Struthio camelus: one gene and its partners. The protein of the gene in region 1 binds, or shares a complex with, the protein of each later gene. Links are inferred from orthologs where the notes say so. Each region holds a gene or a part of one and is shown in the gene's direction. Other genes may lie near its edges. The genes, in order: CTNND1, CTNNA1 and CDH26.

Region 1 (7,134 bases):
AGTTCAGCCCTGCAGCCCTCAGGACCACAGAGGCACTCACTCGGGCCTCAAAGAGGTCTGACTCTAGCTGCAATTCAGAGCCAACGTAGGTGTGTTCACGATGGTGCGTTTCTACTGTTTAATTTTGGAAGAAACTCTCCAAAGACTCTAAAGGCTGTTAAATTTCTGGGCTGATTGCAACAGCAGCAACGCAGCCGTGTATCAGGCACGCCAGAAGGACGCCCCAGGCTTTGTGCGCTGGTGGCCGCTTACCTGTCGTCCGTGTCAGGGGCAGCCGTCTGCCGCGCGCTCTCCCCTGTCGCGTGTCGGGGCGCGCGGCGTGTGTGCCTCATGCTTTTTCTCCGGGGCAAAGCCTAGCACGGTTTGAGCACCCTGCTCTTGGCCACCCGCTCCCCTGAGGGGCAGAGACGTGTCAGGAGACCAGCTCTCCCTGTCACGCAGCCTGGGCAAATTGGGACAGCGATGGGGTGAAAGAAGGGCACTGGAGGCAACGCTCGAAATCCACCTGTGGATTGAAATAATTTGTGAGCTGACGTGGAACAGCTCCATCTGGTGACTCCCACCATAACGATGCTGTAGGTTTCATGGCTGGCTTTTTAAGCCTGGCTTCCTGAAGGCACAAGGTTTGTGTGATCGTGCCAGGCTCCCGCGTGCGCCCCACCGCGAGCCTGTTGTACCTCCCGTTGTATCTTTGAACTCCCTGGCCAAGTCCAGCCAACTCACAAAAGTGCCTTCTTCCAGCGCGTCGAGTGGCTCGCGTGGAAAAGAGGAGGGCAGCGAGGGATTAGCCGTGATCCAGGAGCAGTTCTCACTCAAGCCACAGGGCTGAGGGGGGCCGTGTCTTCCCGATTTTGGGAGACGAGGATCAGGCAGGGGTGAGGACGAAAGGGGCGCAGGAAGAAGGTCTCAGTTCGCCTGTGCCGTGGGACAGAGAAACCTCCTGCTGTCTGTGAGAGGCAGAGGTCCCGCCATCCCTGAACCCCCCCCGCCCCTGCTCTCTTTCCAGCCAGCACGTTGAAGAATGTTTTATTGATGTAACGTCAGGGAGGGTTTGGGAGTCCCCCGCCCGCCCTGATAATCTCTCTAAATGTGTCCTTCACGTTAACTTAATCCCATTTCTCCTCCTTAGGCCTTTTTGCAGCACCCTCGGCAACCTCCACCCCTGGCTGGGGGATTACCTTCTTCAAACATTTGCAGGCTGCTATCGCATCTCCCCCACCTCCTCCTTGCTTAACCAGGCTATGCATATTTACTCCTAGAATCACCCATCCCCACCCAAGACTTTAATCGACTCTTTTCCTCCTGCCGTTATCTTACTAGTAATTTGGCACTCAGGACCCGACAGGATTCTCCCCAGTCACTGAATCCAGCCAGCCCAGAACCAGAGACAAGGTGGATGAATGTCACCTTCGGGGGATCTGGATCAGGACTTCTCTCAGGTGAGTGACGCTTAACCTGGAAACAGGCAGGCTCTGCATCGCTTCCAGACCTTTGTTAAAAAAGGGGAAAATCTCCGTTACTGGAAGAGCACAAAGGTGCGCGTGCGAGAGTGCTTACAGCAAAGAAGAGGCTGCCGGTCTCCCATTTGAGCTATCAGTACACCCTCGACTCTGAATCAGCTCCCATATAGTGTCAGCGGCGGAGCCTGGGCCCTGGGAAGTGGCGCCACTTCCTTGCCAAGCTGAGTAACTCTCTTTTGTGGAGTACGGCATTTCGGAATTGTATTTCTCCAGCTGCGTTAGCTGTAATTATTAAATCTCCTGTTGCTACTTCCGGCCCCGGCTCTCTGTATCTACCCAGATCCCCTTGTATTATTTCTGTGACCCAGCAGCGATTGCAACACTGTTTGATTTAGTACCTTGGAAGAGGGGGCAAAGCAGGATTAATTTAGCTGGGTTGTTGTTTGCGTTTGATTCTTTCCAAGTCTACTGTGAAAGGCGCGATTGCTTTAGCGGCGCGCGAAGACCCCGCGCCTTCCCCACTAGACCCCTTCCCAATGGCTTATCTCATCTTTGCTTTGATGGGACTCGTAACAGCCATTCCCTGTGTTTGCAGTCCTTCGGCGGCCCACACGGCCTTGGCCACGCAAGGGGCTTTCTGAAATCCGCCCCTGCTCCCCTTACCGGGGACGCGCCTGCTGGTGCTGGGCCTTCAGGTCACCCACGTCTAGATGAGGTGTTTAGCCCCGGCCGCCCAGGCTGCGTTCCTCCACCCGCGGTCTCAGGGGGTCGCACGCAGGCGAGGCAGCCCCCGTTACCGGCGCGGGCTGCGTCAGTCCCTTGCTAGCCACATCTTGCCTTATCGGGATCGCTCTCAAACTCTCAGTTTTGTCAGGACGGAGGCAGCGGCTGGCGGGGGAGGCAAAAGGAGCTGGGATGGAGTAAGAAACAACTGAAAACTTTAATGGGAAGAGCAGCCCCTGGAAGCGTTCCTGAGCCAAGCATGACGCACAGGCTGCCAGAGCGCAAGCCGATGGGGCAGGGCGCCGCCGCACGCAAATCCGGAGGGGCAGCAGGGCCTGGGGGGGCGCACGGGGGTCCGGCGGCAGGATGGGAGACAGGCTCGGCCTGCGATGATCCCCTGGGCTTCGGAGGCGGCCCGCAGGGGTAGCGGTGGTGCTTCACACGCGCGAGCGTTTGCGGGCTTTCCGCGGAGGGGGCAAGGGTATCGCCTCCCACGGCGGGTTCGCCGCCCTTCTCCGTCGCCCCACGTCCAGGGAGTTCCCCCCCGACTACTGTCGCGTTTCTTCCTCCACCCCCAGCCCGGGGAGGGCTGAGCCCCACGGGTGCCGCGTACGCTCCTTCCCCGCCGCAGGGCCCGGGGCCGTCGCGCAGGGCCCGTGGGCGCGTGCCAGGCCGGGAGGGGGATCCGCTGCCGCTCTGCCCGAAGGAGCTGCCGAGGTGGGGAAGGGCTTTGCCCAGAGACCTCCTCGCCCTGCCGCTCCTGCCGGGGGGCAGAGCCCCAGCCCGGGGAGCAGCTTGCTGTGCCCGGGGGCGGACCCCCTGCCCTGGGGGCAGCTCTTCCTCCCAGGGACAGAGCTCCTCCGCCGGGCAGTTCTTCGCCCCTGGCGCACGTCCCGTCCTGGGGGCAGGATCCCCCCTGGGGGCAGATAACCTACCAAGGGCAACTACCCTCCTGGGGGCAGATCCACCCCCCAGGAGCAAAGACAGCCCCTAGGGCAAGATCCCCCCCCCTCCTTGGGGGCAGGGATCCCCCTGCTTGGGAGCAGGATCCCCCCCCCTTGGGGCAGATATCCCCCCCTCCTTGGGGACAGGTTCCCCCCTCCTTGGGAGCAGATATCCCCCCTCCTTGGGAGCAGGATCCTCCCCCTCCTTGGGAGCAGGATCCTCCCCCTCCTTGGGGGCAGGTTCCCCCCTCCTTGGGGGCAGGTTCCCCCCTCCTTGGGGGCTGGATCCCCCCCTCCTTGGGGGCTGGATCCCCCCCTCCTTGGGGGCAGGTTCCCCCCTCCTTGGGGGCAGGATCCCCCCCCCCTTGGGGCAGATATCCCCCCCTCCTTGGGGGCAGATATCCCCCCCTCCTTGGGGGCAGGATCCCCCCCTCCTTGGGGGCTGGATCCCCCCCCTCCTTGGGGGCAGGATCCCCCCCCCTTGGGGGCAGGATCCCCCCCTCCTTGGGGGCAGGTTTCCCCCTCCTTGGGGGCTGGATCCCCCCCTCCTTGGGGGCAGGATCCCCCCTCCTTGGGGGCAGGTTTCCCCCTCCTTGGGGGCTGGATCCCCCCCTCCTTGGGGGCAGGATCCCCCCTCCTTGGGGGCAGGATCCCCCCTCTTGAGGCAGCCCCCGCCCCCCTCCCCGTTGTTACCACCCCGCCGCGGCGGGACCCCCTTACAATGGCGGCGGCCATTGGCGGGCCGGGCGGCGCCGGGGGCGGCGGCCATTGGCTCGCGGCGCGCTGACGTGCGCGGGGGCGGCCCCGCCCCGCGGCCCCGCCCCGCCCCGCCCCGCCGGAGCAACTTCCATTTTAGGTGCGGGAGCGGCGCGGGGCGCACGGCGCGGCCCGGCCCCGCTGCCCCCTCCCTCCCTCCCTGCCGGCCCCGGCCCGCTCCCGGCTCCGCTCCCCCCGGCCCGGCGGGGCACCCGGGCCGCCGCCCGGTCCTGCCGCCGCTCCCGTGTCTCCTCGCCGCCTCCGCCGCGGCGGGACCCCGCGGAGCGCGCCGCCCCTTCCTTCCCCCCCCCCCCCCAACCCTCCTCCGAGGACCGGCCACGGTAAGTCCCGCCGCCGCCGCCGGGGCGAGCGGGGCCGGCAGCGCCGGGGGTGGGGTGGGGGGAAGGAGCAGCCGCCGCGGGGCCGGCTGCCGCCGGGGGCGGCAGGGAGGGGCACAAAGGCCCCGCGGGGCTGAGCGTCGCGCGTGTCGCCGCTGCCCGGCCCGCAGACAAAGGGCGCGCGTGTGCCAGCGCCCCGGGGCTGCCGCCGCCCCGCTCCGTGCGGGCAGCGAGGGGGCCGCGCCGGCCCGTTCGTGGGCGGGGGGCGGCGGGGCTGCGCCGCGCCGTTGGCAGCTGCGTGGGAGGGCTCGGGGCCGGCGGGGCAGGGGGGTGGGGGAGCGCCCTGGCGAGCTGGAAACTCTCTTATCTGCCTTGCTCGCCTGTCTGCCGCTATCTCGGTTGTCTGCGCCTTTGTTCTCGCGGGGAAGGGGACTTCTGTGCCTAGGGAGGGTCAAGTATGTGGGGTGGAGCACAACCCCCCCCCCCCACACACCCTCTTCTCCCGCAGCGGGTCCCCTGAATAGAACAGCTCTGATCTTAAAAACCAGACGTGTCCGCCTGGCTGGCAGGTGACACCGAAACGCTTCCAGGTGGGGAACAGCCCTGCCACGGTCAGTTCCCCGGAGCCCCGGGCTCAGCAGGCTGTTTTTCTTCAGCTCCCGTTGGCCGCCCTGTCACTTAGCAAGAGATCTGCTTCCTCCCTCCCCACCGTCCGCTGCCTTTTGTGCTAGGAGTCGATAACCTTCTCTGATACTGCCTTTCTCTTGCAACGTGAGGGCTCTGGGAGTGTTGCGGAGGAGAGGCTTATCTTGGGGTAAACGCAATCAAGTTTGGGTGGCCCTCGGACAGCGGTGAGAGAGAGAGGCACAGGCACGCTTGCCTCCCTTGCAGAAGGGATGCTGGGCATCTCCGCTATGCCCCTGGGCTTTGAGTGAGGGAGCCCGGACAACAAAGCTTCCTCTGATTGTTAGCGAGAGGGGTGGATCTCCTGGAGGTGCCTCCCTCCCCGGGAAGGGCTCCGTGCCCAAGCTCTTGCACGAAGCCTGTGACAAAGCAGGGACTCCTGAGACGGCGGGGTGAGCAGGGCTTTTTTTTTGGAGGGCCGGGATTATCCTTTCCCCTGGGAAAGAGTCTGTGGCGTGCTCGCGGCAGAGTTGGACACCCTTGTCTTGGGGCTGTGGCACCCAGCCTTGCACAGAGCTCTTCTGCCCGGCCGCTGGGAAGCGAGAGGGCAGAGTCTGGGCACATCTGAGACCATCTAGGCACGTGGCTCGTTGTGGTGGTATGTGAAGTACAGCCGTCTGCTGCTTGGTCTCTTACCTGTTGTCCTGCCTGTGGTGTTACTTGGCTGCCCTGCACTTGATGTGGAGTTGAAAACAGGCTTGTCCTCAGCTTGGCAGGGAGCGAAATACTGAAGCTCAGCACCACCAGGACCCAGGTACCGTGGGAATCGCATACCCGGTGTTTACTGCTCGAGTCTGAGGTTTCTGTTTCAGTGTCTTGCTCTTTTTCTCCGGGGCGCTGCTCTGGATGTGGGGAGATAGGAGAGAGCAGCTGGGGACAGTCGCAGTGTTTGGTGGTGGCTCGCTCCTGTCTCCTGCTGCCCGCAGTGCATGCTTCTGTGCGTCACGGCTCCCCGGGGCCTGCTGTGGCCCCAGCTTTCGGCTGGAGGCAGGGTTCCCTGGTGCAGCAGGAGAGCTGTGGAAAGCTATGTCAGCAAGAGCCCTAACGGGGGATGTTTTCGGCTTCCCCAGTTACCTTGTCTGTACCATCCTGCTCTCGGCACTTGAGGCAGGTTCTCTTACTTGTTTCTGACTGTTTACTCATGCACTTAAGGAGTGTGTTTTTTTTACACTTGATTGAACTTGGCTGGGACTCGGTTGCATGCAAATGACTGTCCTTCGCGATGTGCAGCAGTTGTTGGAATTTTGCAAGGAGCCTTCCGGGAAGGGGTGGGAGGATGAAAGTGGCTTGTTTAGTGGAGCGTGCTGGACGGCTTTGCTGGGCTCCGCTGGGCTGCTGCGGAGGGGCGAGCCTCCTCCCGTCTGACTCTGAGGTCAGGCCCAGATCTTTGTGGTTCGGTAGCCCTCGAGATCCTCCCTTCCCTAAAGACGGACTAAGAGTCCGAGGCAGATGCTTCAGCCCAGCCTGCAATCAAGCGTCCCTTGTTTTCTCTCCCTCCTTCAACTTCTGACACGGAGATAAAACCTCGATCCATTGTGTTTGTATTGGGGTGGTTTAGGACGCCCAGCGAAGCGTAGCATAGCTTGGATCATGCCTGGAAGGCTGAGTCCTCAAAATAGTTTACCGGTGCCTGTAGCCTTAGGGAAGAGTCCTAGTTAAATCTCTTGGTTTCTCTTCCCAGCAACCCATCATAACTGTCTGGCCTTTTACTACTGGCAAGCGCAGAGCCCTTACTCAAGATTGTGGTGATACTGTCTTGAGGGATATGCAGAGCTTTTATCCTGGCCTAAAAAAACCCCTTAATCCCTGCTCTATTGTTGTTTTTCCTTATTTCTGCCTTGTTGACAGTGAGGGGCGGAAGCACCAGGCTGGTTTGGGTCCATAAAAGGCAGCAGGTGTTGCCTGGATGAGGTGACAAAACCAAACCTGTTGGGTGATTCAGGCAGCTTCAGAGCTCTGTGTGCGACACAGGGCTTGGCTGGTGGAGGAAACCGTCCTCTGGCACACAGTGCAAGAATGTGTCTCAACACGAGGCTGTTGGAAAGGGACTGGCTTTGCAGGCTTTAGACCAAAGTCCTGGAGTTTCCCAAGGTGGCCACAACCTCCTCTTCAGCTTTTGTTCTTGTACAGGCCTAAGAGGCTGTTTGGAGGAAACTTGTTCTTTCAGAACTAGTGTACTGGGGACTCCCAGCAGCAGGCTGATAGTTGCAGCTTTGGATCATGAGTCAA
Region 2 (6,943 bases), on another chromosome or scaffold:
ATTACCGTCTCTCACCACAGCAGTCCTATCTCAATAGTCCTTACTTCTGCTTCAACCCTGAGTCAGCCTCACAAATAACAAAACTAAAATGCCTCTATTAAAATATAAAAAGATCAAATATGCATTCCAAAACAAGGCAGGCATGCACGTATGCATGGCGTACCTATTTTATTTTCAGCATTGTTGTCCCAGAAATAGAAAATCCAATTCCTGCCAAAAGTACAGCATTTAGACCCGGTGTGTGCTGGGAAGAACAAAAAACATGGTCATGCCAGGTGCTATATGAACCAACCACCTCCTTGGCTGGCATATAAGTCTCCCCCAGGTTACAATAGCAAAAGGGCAACTTTTCTACAGCGACTACACCTGAACTAGTATCTTTAAGTGGCAATATCAGGGATTGCCCTTCCGCATACTGCTGACTAACACAGACATGCTGCCCAAGGTGTGCAATCACAAACCACTTTGTACCCTTACGGACTAGGCGCAGAGTTGCCGTCACAGAGCGAAGAATGAAAGCATTTGTTTGTTTTGTGTGCTTAACAACATACACGCAGCACCACTGTAACAGTCTCCCCTCATTGCTTGTCCTTTTCCCTGGTTTACGTTTGGTTTTCATCCAGCAAAAAGGGAAACTTTTTAAAACCAGGAAAATGGGATTACAAAACCACAGACACTGTTAAAAGGGAGATTCAGGGTCAGGTGGAAAACTTCTAATTCATTTCAAAAAAGGGACTGGTTTTCAGGTTGCCAGCACAGCCTGATGCTGTCTTAATGACAGTCACTGGATTGGAAGTGTTAGCTACTGTTCCGGGTGCCTGTCTAAACAACACCTTGCATTTCTGTCTCCTTGACAGAGCCTGCTACCGTGTTCCAGACAGAGCTGTTAATTAAGAGACAAAGTCCAATCTAAGCCTAGCCGACTCTGTTTTTACATAATTTTGTTTTTTATTTGCTGAGTCTTTTAACTTGATGATCCATGAACTGACGGAGCTGCCAGCTAATTTTCTACTTTTTGCTTCGCGTTTCAACAGTGCGGTACAGAAAGTGCGATTCTCCAGAACGCCAGGCCTTCTACCTTTGAGTTTGTAGTTTGAAAAGGGATTTTTTTTTTTTTAATCTGACATTTTGCCCTGAAAGGATGTGAGACGTGCAAAACTGCTGAATGTGGAAGCCACCACAGGAGGCCAAGGCATGATATTAAACGGAGTAATGAAAGAAAGCAAGCTATTGAAGTGTAAACTCAATTTTATTGAGAGTATGCTGCAGATCAGAAATGAGTAGTTTGAATCCCTGGTGCAACTGACACCAAAATATTAATGGTTTGGTACAAGCAGGAAATACAAAAATCTTTAAAAAAATCCATGTTTTCTCTGCACTTATAGAGAGGAGCATCTGTTTAAAAAGTCTGTTTGCTGAGACACTGAATACTCTATATTATTTTAATAACTTATATCTCAGCCAGCATCATAATTACAGACTTCACTTTCTTTCGATTAACTTCTCTCATAACAGGGCTGGACTCTTGATCCCTATTTTCTTTACGGATTGTAAAACAATGGCACTATGCTTATTTCTCTGGCTTGCTAACCTCTTGGATTAAACCGGTGGGGAGAACAAAATGCAATCTAAGATGCTGCAGGCCACAGTCCGTCTTCCCGCAGGACAGGCTTGTAGCGGCAGGGCAAAAATAGGAAGCATGGTCTTGCTGACTTTACGGAGCCAAGACCTGGAAGAAAATCATAGTCCTAAAGCATTGCATTCCTCCGCGATGGCACTAGCCTGATTGCACGGCCCCTGGAGAGCCAGCATGGGTTGCTTTGTCTACCTTAACTAGATTAGATAGCTCCAGTATATACTCTTTGCTAGGCTTTCCCAGTCTCTCTAGATTTTGACTAATATCAAAGGAAGGAGCAAGTAGATTCAGGCATCTTAGAAATGTTGGCAAATGAGTCACGAAACATATTGACTTTATTTGACTGGTTTTGCAATCCAGTACAAGCACAAGTTCTGTGGAGACCTTTGTATTAAAAGTAATCTCAAAGTGTACTACAAAAAAAACCCCCAAGTCGTTGGGTATAGAATGAAAGCGGCCAGTTCCTCACACAAGAGACTCAGTGACACTTTGAAAAAAGAAACCTTTGAAATAAATTACTGTGTAAAGACAACTTCCAGATCTACAGATTGACCTCAATTCGATTAATGTTAAGTTTCTAAAATCTCCTCCTTTTCTGATGGAGGCTCTGGCATTTGGATTCCAGGAGACATTTAAAATAGCATACATCCGTTTCTGAAATCTCCCACACTTGCATTATCACAGCTTGACAGCCCTTTTATGTCATGGATTTCCCCTATTGCTTTTCCTCTGTATGCTTGTTATTAGAGACATTTGCATGAAAACAAGACATTTTTTGAAAAGCGACAACTCTCAGAAATGTTAAGATACAACATTAGGTTTTCATAAGAAAACAGCAATTTATAAAACCCAAGAGGAACCGAGCTGTCATTTTTTCCCTTTTCCCAGCGAAGCTGATATCACGTATCCACCCGTTTCCAATAGATTTGCTACCTTGTATCTTGCGATAGCCCGGAAGACTAAAGGCTGTATCAGACTTTGGTTAGGGACCATCAGCGGGGTCCGTATGGCATGGTCTGTATCTCCATTTCTGATTTACACAAATCAGATGTCGAAAGATTAATTATAGCTCGTTAATATCCCAGTCAACGGACACGGCATGGATTTTGAACGTCTCTGCGATTTCCCGTCGTAAACCTGGGGGACTACGCAGTTCTTCTAAGTTTCACTGATGGCAGCTAGAAGATTTTTGATTCCTGGAAGTGTTTTGACCTAAAACGTTCATTTTACCTTAGAAGGAAGTTGACCAAAGGTGCCAGAAGTATGGGCCAGTGGGGGAGGAACACAAGAAGCAGCTGGGAAACCTGCCCTTTTGCCCTGTGCTGCTAGGAAAGGCTGTGGTTTCGAGCAAGTTCACGCTTCCGGCGTGCAGAAATCACAGCGAGCGCGAGGCGGGCTGGTTGTGCAACCACTGAAACCAAAAAAGCGGAAGACCGGTTTAAACCCCACGGCCTGGCCACTGAGAAACCGCAGCGATACCGCTGCAGGCCCGTAGCGGAGCCGGCAGGGCCGCAAACCGCGCGGCGCCCGGCGGGCAGCGCAGCGGGGGGAGGGCTGGGGGCGCCCTGCTTGGGGTCCCGGCAGCGCCCGAGGAGCGGGGTCGGGGCACGAGGACGGCTCCGTTCGGGGGGGGGCTGGCAGAGGCCTGAGGCGGGGACAGGCCGCCCGCAGCCCCCTCGGCCCCGGGCGCGGCCGTTGGGGCCCTCACATGCGGCCGTTGGGGCTCGCGCGTGGCTGTTGGGGCCCTCGCGCGCGGCTGTTGGGGCCCCTCGCACGCGGCCGTCGGGGCCCTCGCGCGCGGCCGTCGGGGCCCAGGCGTGGCCATTGGGCCCTCGCGTGTGGCCACTGGGGGCCGGGCGCGCAGCCGTTGGGGCCCTTGCACAGCCGTTAGGCCCCTCGCGCGCGGCCGTTGGGGCTTGGGCGCGGCCGTTGGGGCCCTCGCGGGCGGCCATTCGGGCACGGGCACGGCCGCTGGGGCTCGGGCGCAGCCGTTGGGGCCCTCGGGCACGGCCGCTGGGCCCCTTGCGCGGCCGCTGGGGTTCGGGCGCGGCCGTCGGGCCCCTTGCACGGCCGTTGGGGCTCGGGCGCAGCCGTTGGGCCCCTTGCACGGCCGTTGGGGCTCGGGCGCAGCCGTTGGGCCCCTCGCGCGGCCGGCGGGCCCCTCGCGCGCGCGCGCGGCCGCTGGGGCCGGCGCCCAGCGCCTCACCTGGCGGCGGGCGGTGCCGCCAAGGGCGGCAGGGGCGGCGCGCGGCAGCGGGCGGGCGGCGCCGGGAAGAGCCGGCCGGACCCGTGCGGGGCGGGGAGGCGGGAGGTGCCCGGAAGAGCCGATTTCCTCTCTCCGGCTCGGGACGGGAGCGGCGTCGAGCGAGACAAAGCGGCCGCGGCGGCTCCGGGCCCGGGATCCAGCGGCGGGTGCCCCCCTCCTCCCCTCCCGGTAACTTCGGCGGCGGCGCTGCCCGCTCCCCTGCCCTCCCCCCGCCCCGCTCCTCCGACTTGGGAAACTTTTCGCGGCGCCGCGGCCGGGCCTGGCCGCGCCGAGCCGGGCCGGGCCGGGCTGGGCTGGGCGAGCTCGGCCGGGGCCCAGGCCCGGCTCTGGCCCCCGCGACGGGCGGCCGGGAGGGGCCCCCGGGCGGCGGTGGGGGCTGGCGGCGGGGCCCGGCGCCCCGTGGCGGCCCCGTCCCGGCGCGGGCGGCGGCGGCGGCCCGGAGCGCGGAGCGGAGGGGAGGGAGCGCGGCCCGGCCCGGCCCTGCCCGCCTGGCTTCCGGGCGCCGCGGAGCGGAGCGGAGCGGGCCGCGCCGCCTCCCCGCCGGCGGCGGGGCGTGGGCCGGGGCTGCCTGCCGGGCCGCGGCGGGGCTCCGCGTGGCTGCGCCCGGGCGGTGCGGCCCTGCCCGGCACCGGGGCGGGGGCAGAGCCAGCTGCCGGGCGCGGCGGGGGCGGGAGGCTCCTGTGGGGAGAGCGGCCAGGCGGCGGGTGGCTTTTTTGGGCACGAGTAGATTAATGTTATCTTGCTGTTCAAAGAAGAGCTCTCTGCTTCCAGCAGCAGTACGGATCGGGCTGGAAGACTGTCAGCCGCAGTTACCGGACTGGTTCGGGTGGGAGCAGGGATTTTGCTTTAATAAAAAAAACGCACCAAAAAAAAACTTTCCACAGCTGCTGGGCACGGCTAGGTGAACCTGTCCGGTCCCTGCCATGGCAGCAGTCAGGTACAGGCATCTTCTACGTGGTTCCCCAGGCAACTATTTGCAGAGTTGAATCTTGCTGCTTGGCATGGGTTACCGAAAGCGTTGCTTGATTGCTTCAGTTTTGTGATGAGTTGATTTTTTTTTTGGTTGTTGGTTTTTTGGGGTTTGGTGCTGACAACACTGGTATGCTCTTCCTTCTCTGTTCTACCTGCAGATTTTTTTGTGATGCAGCTAAAACAAGCTTATGCAGTTCTCCCCCAAACTGGTGTTTGTGTTTGAATACGTAAAGTGCAACTTCTCTTCATCCCAGAACACCCCGTTTCCCTTAACTTAGCCATGTCACATTTTTTGATAGCCACCTATAATGCCATAAGACAAGTACCCTTTCTCTGCTGACCAGAAGTTTCATGCCACTTCTTACATCTAAACAATAGAGAGACTGCATCAATGCTTTCAGTCACTGTTTTATCCTCAACTCTCATCCCTGCAGCCTGTGGGCTACTGACTAATACATATTGGCCTGCTATTCTTGGTTAGTCCCTTTCACATTAGTTCAATGGGTGTGAAATATTTTAGGCTGAAAATACGTGGAGGACAAAAAAGTATGTTAGTCTCTTATATTTAGGCAAGAATTAGATGTGGTCGAAGCTTACTTCCCTGTTCCTCTCACGTTGGTCTGCCTGCCTTACCCGCAAGGCAGTGTGTATGTTATCGCTATGTCAGCGTGAGTGATCAATAATCCACTTGCCTCGTCTGAGTTATGCGCGTCCATTATTGTGTTCTCATTCCAGCATTCACAATTATGACTCAAGGCATGTTTATGGTTATTTCTATTGAAATAGTCTAGGATCTCCCTGCAGTCTTTTGTCGGTCCTGTTGTACTTCTTGTTTTGTTTTGTTTTTGGTTGTATTTTTTGTTTTGTTTTTAAACTGCATTGTGAGTAGGGAAGTGGGGGCGGTAGGAGAGGCTCTGCTAACTGTAGCTTTGATTCTAACCTACATCCTTAGTCATGCTGGCTAGATCAGACTTACAGCACTTTCAAACCCAGCTGAAGGTGCTAGTTTATTTTCAGCTCTTGGGCTAGTTTGTGGGGATGTTAGTCTGGGTTTCAATGTAGGTGAAAGGCTAAGCTTACTTTGCAGTATATGTGTGGTCTTTCAGGTACAAGGCAGATTGCCACGTATCTGTCTGGAGCACGCTAAGCTGTTTGGTTTGCCTTTGTGTGCTCAGGCAGCGTTAAGTGTTTAGAAGACTTGTTTCTCTCTTCCTGCTGAACTGAATCTTCTTGCTTGAAAGGGCATTATTTTAAGTTGAGTCATTTTCTGTTTTTTTCTTTAGTGGAAAACAGTTTTGAAAACATAAAGGAAATATCTTTGGCTCTTCTTAAGAGAAACAGATGAAAGTTCAGTTTTTGTTTTAGAAACACTTTGCTGTAATGTATTTGATAATAAACAAAATGCCGTCAGGTTTTTTTTTTTTGTCAGCTGGCTCTAATAATAGGTGTCTGCATCAGAGATTAAAGGTTTACCCACGGTGACAGGGAGGAGTACACTAGGTCAAGATTAGAAATACTGCACCCAAACTGATGACTTTAAATACCAAAGCAAATATTTACCTCTGATAAAATTTTCAAACTTTGTAAAGCATCAGCCTTTGAGATGGTGTTAAAACGTGTATAATGGCAAGTGTTAATATGCAGTTTATTCGTAGGACTTCCGTTAGTCAGATCAAGTTAACTGAAAGCTATAAAAGAAAAGTAATTTGTGTATTTCAGCTTCATAAATTTCTTCCTTCTGCAGCTGTAAGATCCAGAAACTGATCTTGCAAAAGAGTCCGCCTTAGTAGAGATATTTATGAGCTGAAAATAAGCTTTAGTAGAACTTTGGCCTGTGTGGAAGTTATACATACTGTTGCTCTATAATATCCTTTCTTATGAAAAGAATTAGTTAAACTCACAAAAATATTTAGCAGAGAACCCGATCTACTAAGCATAGATATTAAGGTTAGTCTAGAGCGAGGACATACATGGCTGAGATAGTCCGTTGAAGGACTTGCAGCTTCTGTTTTACTGGCATCTCTTGACTGTACGGGATGCTAAACGAAATGTGATGAATAAAAGAGGAC
Region 3 (7,987 bases), on another chromosome or scaffold:
GACAGACCAGACTTTTCAAGTGGCTCCTTCCCACTGTGTTGTAAAATGAAAAAGTAGCAAATACTAAATTATGTATATAGTTAAAATGCACTTTTATTGGTTGATCTCATCTTGGTTGTAAGATGCTTAGTTGCTTCTATTCTTTCATTGTGCCTACCTGATCTTCAGCTTGGTAAAATTTCAAAGCATGGATTTAATGTAATTTAAAATGTGATAATAAATGTAGTAATAAACTAGAGTATTTTACAGTACTTAAAAAAGCAATGCTCAGGAATAGTTTAAGAAATATTTTTAGTGTCTTTTTCCTAGTCAACTGGAGACTAAATGGGAAATTTTAAATTGATGAAGGAAACAAATTTAGTATACAGTATTATATTTACATATTCAGTATTTGTTACCTTACAGTTAAAAACTAATTGTTCCATGTACGTTCTGTTCTATGCAATTAAAGTGAAACTTAAATCTGACATGCTCAACGATCAAATAAATTGGCTGTGTCAGAGGTGTGGTGACACTAAAGAGGACGACATTCAATTACCAGCAACTGCAGAGCAGTAGCACAGGCTTCTGTTTGCTGTTTCATCCTTTTGTTTTGTTTCAGAGTCGCCATGTAGGTCAGCTTTTTTGGATCAAAAGGCCCTGCATCCAACGCTTGAGTTTCAAGCTTGGGCCAAATCCTGCAAGCCTTCATTACTCAAGTTTTCCTGAATCAGTAGTGAAAGTTACTCCCGTTGCTAATAAGCAGTATTATCAGTGCACTATTTTGGTGCGCTATTTATAAGCACCAAAAGCGAAGTGACCAGGATCAAGTCCATAATCAGCATGGCAAATTTTTTTAAACAAATTCTAGTAGAAGCAATAATTAATTAGCATGTTATTATAGCACTGAATATTAGTGTATGCTAAATTTGCTTCTGAAAATTTGCTCTGTATTGGTGTTTCCCTAGGTTACAAGGAGAGCATGTAGATACCTGCACATTTTGCATGGTTAGTTCTCAAAAAATAAATAGTGTTTCAGTCTGCCTTGAATAGAGCAAAGGTGATTCGCACTGAGAGAAGGTTTTTCTCACAAACCTATGGGCTTCGAAAATTTTATTGTAATGTACTGCTTGTGGTCTGAAGGACATCGATCTGTTCTTGGGGACTGAAAATTTAAGTAGGCAGAGACGCTGATGCCACTTAAATAAATCTGAACACCTGTTAAACATTGAGCTATGATCTGGCAAGTTTGTCTTGCATGGTAATCACACAAGTCTAATTTTTGTTCATTGATGATTTGGTACTTCTTACGCAGTCCCCTCTGTTCATATACAGAAATACAAATTCTGCGTTATCCTTAATAAACAGCTCTTAAAATAAGCAGGCTCACAAGGGTTGGATTTTATCCTGCAGAACTTTGCTTCTATTTTAACTTGTCCATGTTCTGGGCTCACAGATGAAAAGAGTTCCTTTTATGATGAGGGCTAAGGTTTATATTTCCTTCATTCTGCATTCATGAATGTTGTCTTTAAAAGCACCTCTGAATATAGCAGAAAAGTTGGTTAGGTCAAGTACTTTGTTTGGAATTAAAATACTTGCACAGGACAATGCTTGTGTGGTTATTTATATTTTTCTTCACTATATTTAGCAATATGATGATACATTCTTGTGTGTCTAACCCTACTGTTCAAGGTATTTTTGAAGAAAAATTTTCCTGTGATTTGAGATATTTAAATGGGGCAATTTTTTTTTTTCTAGATAATTTAAAGGTTTAATGTTCTGTAGTACTGCCTACAGAGCTAATACACTCAGGTTGCATTTTAAATAAAATTGCTAGATTCTACTAGTATAAACTTTGAATAAGTCTGTTTTCAGTGAAATTATCCTGTTACAAAGATGTAACAAAACAGAATTTTGCTCCAAAATATATACACACTGTTTTCCTTACTAATGGTATACCCTATTTTTAATGCTTAACACTAAGAATTTTGAAACAATAGAGTTCTTCTCTTTGCATGTTTCTTCTCTCTCTATTGCCTGCATCATCTGCAATGAAATACTGTGGTCACTTAGAGGGTTGTTTCCCCACCTTGTGGTAGCTTTCAGTTAAAGACCGATGTTCTGATGTTTATGCGCAATGCTTCCCAATCCTCATTTTGTAAGAAATCAAGCTTTTGCAGTTACTCACTGAGAAGTTATGCTCCAAAGAGAGAGCATTTGTGTGAGCGCTATTTAACATCCTGGGAAAAGGAGCTTCAAGTATGATGTGGAATCATCTTCACGTGGAAGAGACTTACAAGGAGGACTCAAATCCGTCTCCACCGCTGCTTCAGTATCCTAAAACATAGGGTGTCCACCTCTTAAGGCTAGTAAAATGGATTATTTTTCTTTGCAAATGAGAGATTATGTTTGCTGATAAGAATTCAGCAGTAGTGGGGCGATACTGCTCCTTGAAGAGGCAAAAGGCTCCGTATTCTTTGTGCGTAAGACAGGAGACCTCAGCTCCTGTGAGTTTACAGCAAAGGGGTTGCCACGGCTTAGGAGCTCTCATTCCCCACCACTGCCTCTCCCAAGATGTTGCGACTGCAGCTCCCAGCCTGTGTGCTACCTGCGCTAACATGCCTCTGCTGCTGCCCGCTGACCTGTGCCCAGCATGGGGCAATAATGTTGCACATGATGACAATTATGCCTGTTGCATCCTCCCTTTCTGTGCATCATTTAATGTTCTTTGAGGTAATCTATATCTAGCATTTGCTGTTTAAAGGATCTTGTTATGGGTAGACAATATTTTGATGAGAGTTTTGTCAGTTATTGTGTGATATTAAAAATCTACAGTACAAAACTGCCTATGGTGTAATTTTTTGGCCTTCTTTTCAAAGGTACTGAGCCTTTGTTGCTCCCATTGGCTTTAGTGAGTTTTTTGGTAGAAAATAATTAAACGCACCATTCTGTCCAGAAAGAATGGAACTCTGTTAACTGATAATTTCTAGCCCAGCTTTTGATGTCTGGTAATCATGTGTACTTGTTTATTCTAAGTTTCTCTCTCTCTCCTTTTTTATTTTTTTATTTTTTTTGCTAGTAATTTCATTAGAAAGTCATCTTGTAACTTAAAAGTTACTGTCTATTTACTTTATATGCATCTTTGTTACTTGCTTGTATTTTTTTGGATCACCCACAAGATGGCACCTGTGATTTTTTCTTTTAGATAATTTCTGTTACCCCAGAGCTGAGCTTTCTAGGCTGCTGTATCTCAGCTATATTCCTACTGGTAGCCAAGGTAGCTAGTTAAAAACTATATGATTATTTCTATTCTACATGGCAGTTACTTCTGTAGTTGCTGTTTTAAGGCATCATAATACATGAAAATACACACAGACTGTACTTCATCATATTGAGATCTCTCTCACTTTCTTCAAAATCTCTAAAGTTAAACATTACAAAACTCCTTTGGGAGGTATCACATAACAATTTGACAATCAGAAGAGATAAGATGATACAGCTTTTCCAAGGAAAATGTAACCAACAAGCCAGACCAACCTTTTCCAAATGTGGTATTAATCAACTCAATCACCGTTTTCAGAGAAACTTGCACTAAGTATAATAAAGCTTAAGGTTAAAAATTTTACTTATCAGTTCTTTTCTCAGCTTACTTAGGCAGCTAGCAGTTTGCCCTGGACTGAAAAGGAGCCACTCTCCCCTTGTTTGAACCTCTAGAGCGGAGCTGCTAAATTATCTAGGTATGTTCCATAATGCCTATGCCCTTTGTCTTTGTGCTCATGTTGTATTGCGTATCCAGCTTTAGACGTTCATATAGAAGAACTTCAGTATGCAAATTGATACTTGCTTGATGGGTTGCACAGAACAATCTAGTTTAAGAAACATTTTCAGAACTTGTTCTTGGTTCAAAGTCTTAAGTAACATAATAGTAACTGTCACGGTTATGACAGATAAGAATTGCTCAGGGTACTGCATATATATATATATATCAGAAGTATTTGTAATAGCATGTCTCCACTAAATATGAAGTAATATGTTTGCATTTTTGTGAGCAACTGTAAAGTTACCAGGCAATCACATTTCTGAAGAACTCTTTAATGAAAGCTGCCTGTCTATTACAGCTGTATAATGGCCATAAAAGTTCAGTAACGACACATTTGTTTTGAGTGATAGTAGAAGTACCAATTACAAAGCAACTGAAAAAAAAAAACCCACCAAAGGGGAGCTAAGTTTTACTTTGAGTCATTTCAATATTACAGAACAGAGTTTCATTTCATTCCTGTTCTGTCTGCCAGGCAGAAATATCTGCTTTTCCCTGGAGCAGCTCTAACGCCTGTGGAACTGTAGATGATAACTATTTAGTAAAGAACAGAAATAGTGGAAGTGACAATAGTGAAAAACAGATTTTGTTGTAATAAGCCACTGTACAAAATTCCTAGGAGCAACTCAATTGAGAGCATCCAAAATCCTAATGTGCACCCTCTAGACCGGCACATGGAAGAACTGAATTGTCGGAAGGGTTCCCCCTTCCAGCGGGGCAGAACAGATGCTCAGCGCACTCTCTCGCACTCTGTTCTCACCTCTGTATCTCAGATAGCTTTGGGGGGAACTCACTATATCCTGCCAAGGAGAACAACTGGGCTGAGACATCTCTACGTAACTGAGGCCTATTCTACATCAAAAAGGCATTGGTACTAGAAGAGATCCATCGCTGTAGCTTTTCTGAAGCAAGGGTATGGGAACAGACACAGGTCCCATGCAGGAAACATAGTTTGGTGTCGCCTAACCTGTTTGAAATAAGGGAACCCCAGAGCTGCAGGACCCCCACGGATAGTGGTACAGTCAGCACACCCTGGGAATCGCCATTGGGGTAGCCTGCTTGTGCACCAGCACCAAGGTACAACATCATCAAGACAAGAGGGGAGCGAGGACTGCCGAACGCTGCCTGTGAGCTGCTGCCATGGGCCAGGCCTGGGCTGCCCTGGAGGAACCAAGGAGGAGGTGCCTCGTGGGGCAGGTGGCCCTGGCACGGCCCCGGTCCCTCCTTCCTTGGCTCTGCGCTGCCCCCGGGGTGGGCGGACGCTGGGGTGCGGCCAGGTGCTTCACGGGCACTGCTTGGCTCCACACCCAGCTCCGCACTTGGCTCTGCGCTGCCATGGAGCGACTCGCTGCGCTGCTTCTCCTGGTGGTAGGTGAGGGCTTGGGGGGGGGCGGCACTTCGCTCCCCGCAGGGACGAGGCCTCCGGCCGCTGGGTGGGCTCTGAGGGTGCAGCCTGCCCCCCGAGCGCAGCACCCCGGGGAAAGGGTAGCTGCTTTGCCCCCCAAATGCCGGGCTCAGGTCTCTCGCAAGGGGTTTCCGGGATCAGTGGTGAAACGGCCTGCATGGAGCTGGGGCCTTCGGCTCGCGGTGAAGATCCGGGGGCGTTCGTGCCTGGCAGAGCGCACTGGTGCCCAGTGCTGTCTCTGGTGGGTTTATGATCCCCCACAATAACTCATCAGCATTTCCGTGAGCATTTCTGTGGGGTTTATGGGCCTGAACAGTGTTGTTCCTTACTAGTGGTGGCCAAGTCTGGAATAGATACGGCAGCAGCTGCAGCCGTTGCTGCGCACACAAAGGAGTGCAGAAGCTGTAAAAATACATGATTAAAGCTTTTTAGTATACTTAGGAGTGGTTACACACAGACGGGGAAAGCAGCTGGGGGCGGCGGCAGGGGGGCTGTCCGGCACAGACAAGGGCTTACAAAGTCCAGCAGAGCTGAACCTGGAACTAAGCTAATAAATACTACCATTCAAGTGCCAGGTTAAAGCCTTGCTTGCTGTTTTTACACCGCAGAGGCCCAGGTCATACAACAGCTTTACAGAAAAGCTCCAAAGCACTACCCATGAGCCCCATCGCTTGGGGTGTGGAGTTAATAACCGCAGCAATTCCATCAGTATTTTGTTTCTTCAGAAACAGATCAGGAGATAAAGGCCTGACCTTTACCCAGTCTAGGTGGGAATAGCGCTGCTCCTTTCTTTAAATGACACTGGAGACCTTTTGACAGAACAGGTCAGCAAAAAGCAAGCTTCCACACGAATATTGCGAGAATGAGGAAAAAGGTGTACAAGCTGTCTCTGAGCTAATGCCAAAAGTGTAATCTGAGTACTATCACACTTGCAGTGGAAGGAAGATTTTTAAGTAAAAAGCAGTGTTTGAAGCTTGTGTAGGAATCCAGTGCTTATAAAAGCTAATTAGGGTGGAATTCCATTCTCAACAACGTATTTTACTCACGTCCAGGTTATAGACTTCGGTCCAGTTTGGGACACATAAAAACATGACAAAGTTTTTGAGAACCTGAAATACTATTCAGACTTAATATTTTCAGCAGAAAGTTTACATCCTGTCAATATAAATTGTAAAGGCAGGGAGAGACAGAGGGGAGTATTTCCGTATTTCAAGTATCAAGAGTTGGTTTGAGAGGAAGCCACAGAGATAACAGTCTGGAGAGTTCGAGACAGCATTTGCATGTTTCTGGGACTGGCATCACCTGACCAAAGAAATCAGTAGCCAAGGTCTCATGCCACTTCACTTGCAATGGGAAGGATGATATCTCTGGAATTTCTATAATTTTATAGCGTTAACTACAATGTAACACACTGGTGTCAGAACTGAACCGATACGTTTCTGTGAAGCCAAATTCCTCCCAGGCAACATTCATTCCAATGTTTTCTAGCTAACCACACTTCTCACAATGGGCTTCTCTTTTATAAGGTTACTGCTGCCAACAGCTTTTCTCACGAAGTTGAAAATTTCCACTTAAGACAAGCTACCCAAAAGAAGAGCATCCAGGTTTGTAGTCAGTGTTATTTAGTAACAGATACACTACAATTAGTACATAAACTACAGCACTAAATGCACTTCTTTATCCAATAGTGGCTAGATTCTTATCAATTAGATGGTCTACATCCTCTACGGCGTACGAAAAGGACATGGGTTATTACCACCATTGTTGTTCAAGAGGAGGAAAAAGGACCATTCCCAAAATATGCTGGACAGGTACAAATAAGCTTTTAGTACAAGCTCTTCCTGAACCTCTCTGTAAGGTTTTTACCACCAATTCTACAACAAAACATCAAGGGTGGAAGAGGGCAAGAATGCCCCTGTGTATTAGACCTTTTTTTTAAAACTTCCTTTGTTCAAACTGCCCTGTTTAAACAGAATTGGGTGGAATCATGTAGTGGGAGGGGGAGATTGCTCCTTTCTTTGGGAAGCTGTTGCCACACTTAGGAAAACGAAGAGACGATGGTATGGGAGAGGTGAGAGAGTCACTGCACAGAGCTGCGAGCCTGTATATTGTGCAGAGAGAGTGGAGAGTGTAGTGGGCTGGCAGCTGTGTCTCAGAGGTGATGGCAGGGCCTTTCTACGGACAGAGAGGACTGGGAGGAAAGTGTTGCAACCCAGAAAGCTGCTGGGTGGCTGAAAGCAAGCCTGTAAGCAAGGTCCCGTCTCCAAAGACAGAGCGGCCAGGAAGAGAATTGGTCTAAAGTATTTTACCTCTGTTCTGTCTTCCTTACTCACGCTGAATTGTGTTTCTTTTCAAAGCTGTTCAATAACAAATCATTTAATGCATCAGTACGATACTTAATCAGTGGACCTGGTGTAGATGAACATCCAGAGATTGGATTGTTTTCTATAGAAGACGATGCAAACGGACATGTGTATGTACATCGTACCATTGACAGAGAAAAGACCCCATCTTTTCAGGTAATCATGCTTTAAAAGAATACCTTCAGCAAATTTTTTCTTTTTCTCATGGCCAAATGCTTCACAGGAATGAGATATGCCAGTAAGAATCTGAAGGGTGTATTTTTGTCCTTCTTATTTTGAATCTCAAAATAAATGCAAAAGTAATCGTCTTAGCAGAAACGAACAGGTAACTTCTGCATCACTATCGATTCTATAACCTTTGTGGCATGTGTAGAGTTCCACAAATATCAGTACACTTCTGTTCTGTTGTATTTTTCATATAAC

Evidence for each region.
Region 2: CTNND1 (region 1) and CTNNA1 share a complex: the UniProt entries of both Homo sapiens proteins name them as parts of the cadherin:catenin adhesion complex. The link is inferred for Struthio camelus from reciprocal best matches to the Homo sapiens genes CTNND1 and CTNNA1.
Region 3: CTNND1 (region 1) and CDH26 share a complex: the UniProt entries of both Homo sapiens proteins name them as parts of the cadherin:catenin adhesion complex. The link is inferred for Struthio camelus from reciprocal best matches to the Homo sapiens genes CTNND1 and CDH26.

What each region holds. Positions count from the first base shown.
Region 1 is NC_090946.1:7,454,243-7,461,376, reverse strand, and holds the start of CTNND1 (catenin delta-1), read left to right. Parts: upstream 1-4,090; 5' UTR 4,091-4,224; intron 4,225-5,281; exon of another isoform or gene 5,282-5,659; intron 5,660-7,134. UniProt on the Homo sapiens protein: Key regulator of cell-cell adhesion that associates with and regulates the cell adhesion properties of both C-, E- and N-cadherins, being critical for their surface stability.
Region 2 is NC_090954.1:20,905,398-20,912,340, forward strand, and holds the start of CTNNA1 (catenin alpha-1), read left to right. Parts: upstream 1-3,901; 5' UTR 3,902-4,070; intron 4,071-6,943. UniProt on the Homo sapiens protein: Associates with the cytoplasmic domain of a variety of cadherins. The association of catenins to cadherins produces a complex which is linked to the actin filament network, and which seems to be of primary importance for cadherins cell-adhesion properties.
Region 3 is NC_090959.1:14,330,986-14,338,972, forward strand, and holds the start of CDH26 (cadherin-like protein 26), read left to right. Parts: upstream 1-4,886; 5' UTR 4,887-4,936; coding exon 4,937-5,164; intron 5,165-6,727; coding exon 6,728-6,805; intron 6,806-6,889; coding exon 6,890-7,012; intron 7,013-7,558; coding exon 7,559-7,720; intron 7,721-7,987. UniProt on the Homo sapiens protein: Cadherins are calcium-dependent cell adhesion proteins. They preferentially interact with themselves in a homophilic manner in connecting cells; cadherins may thus contribute to the sorting of heterogeneous cell types.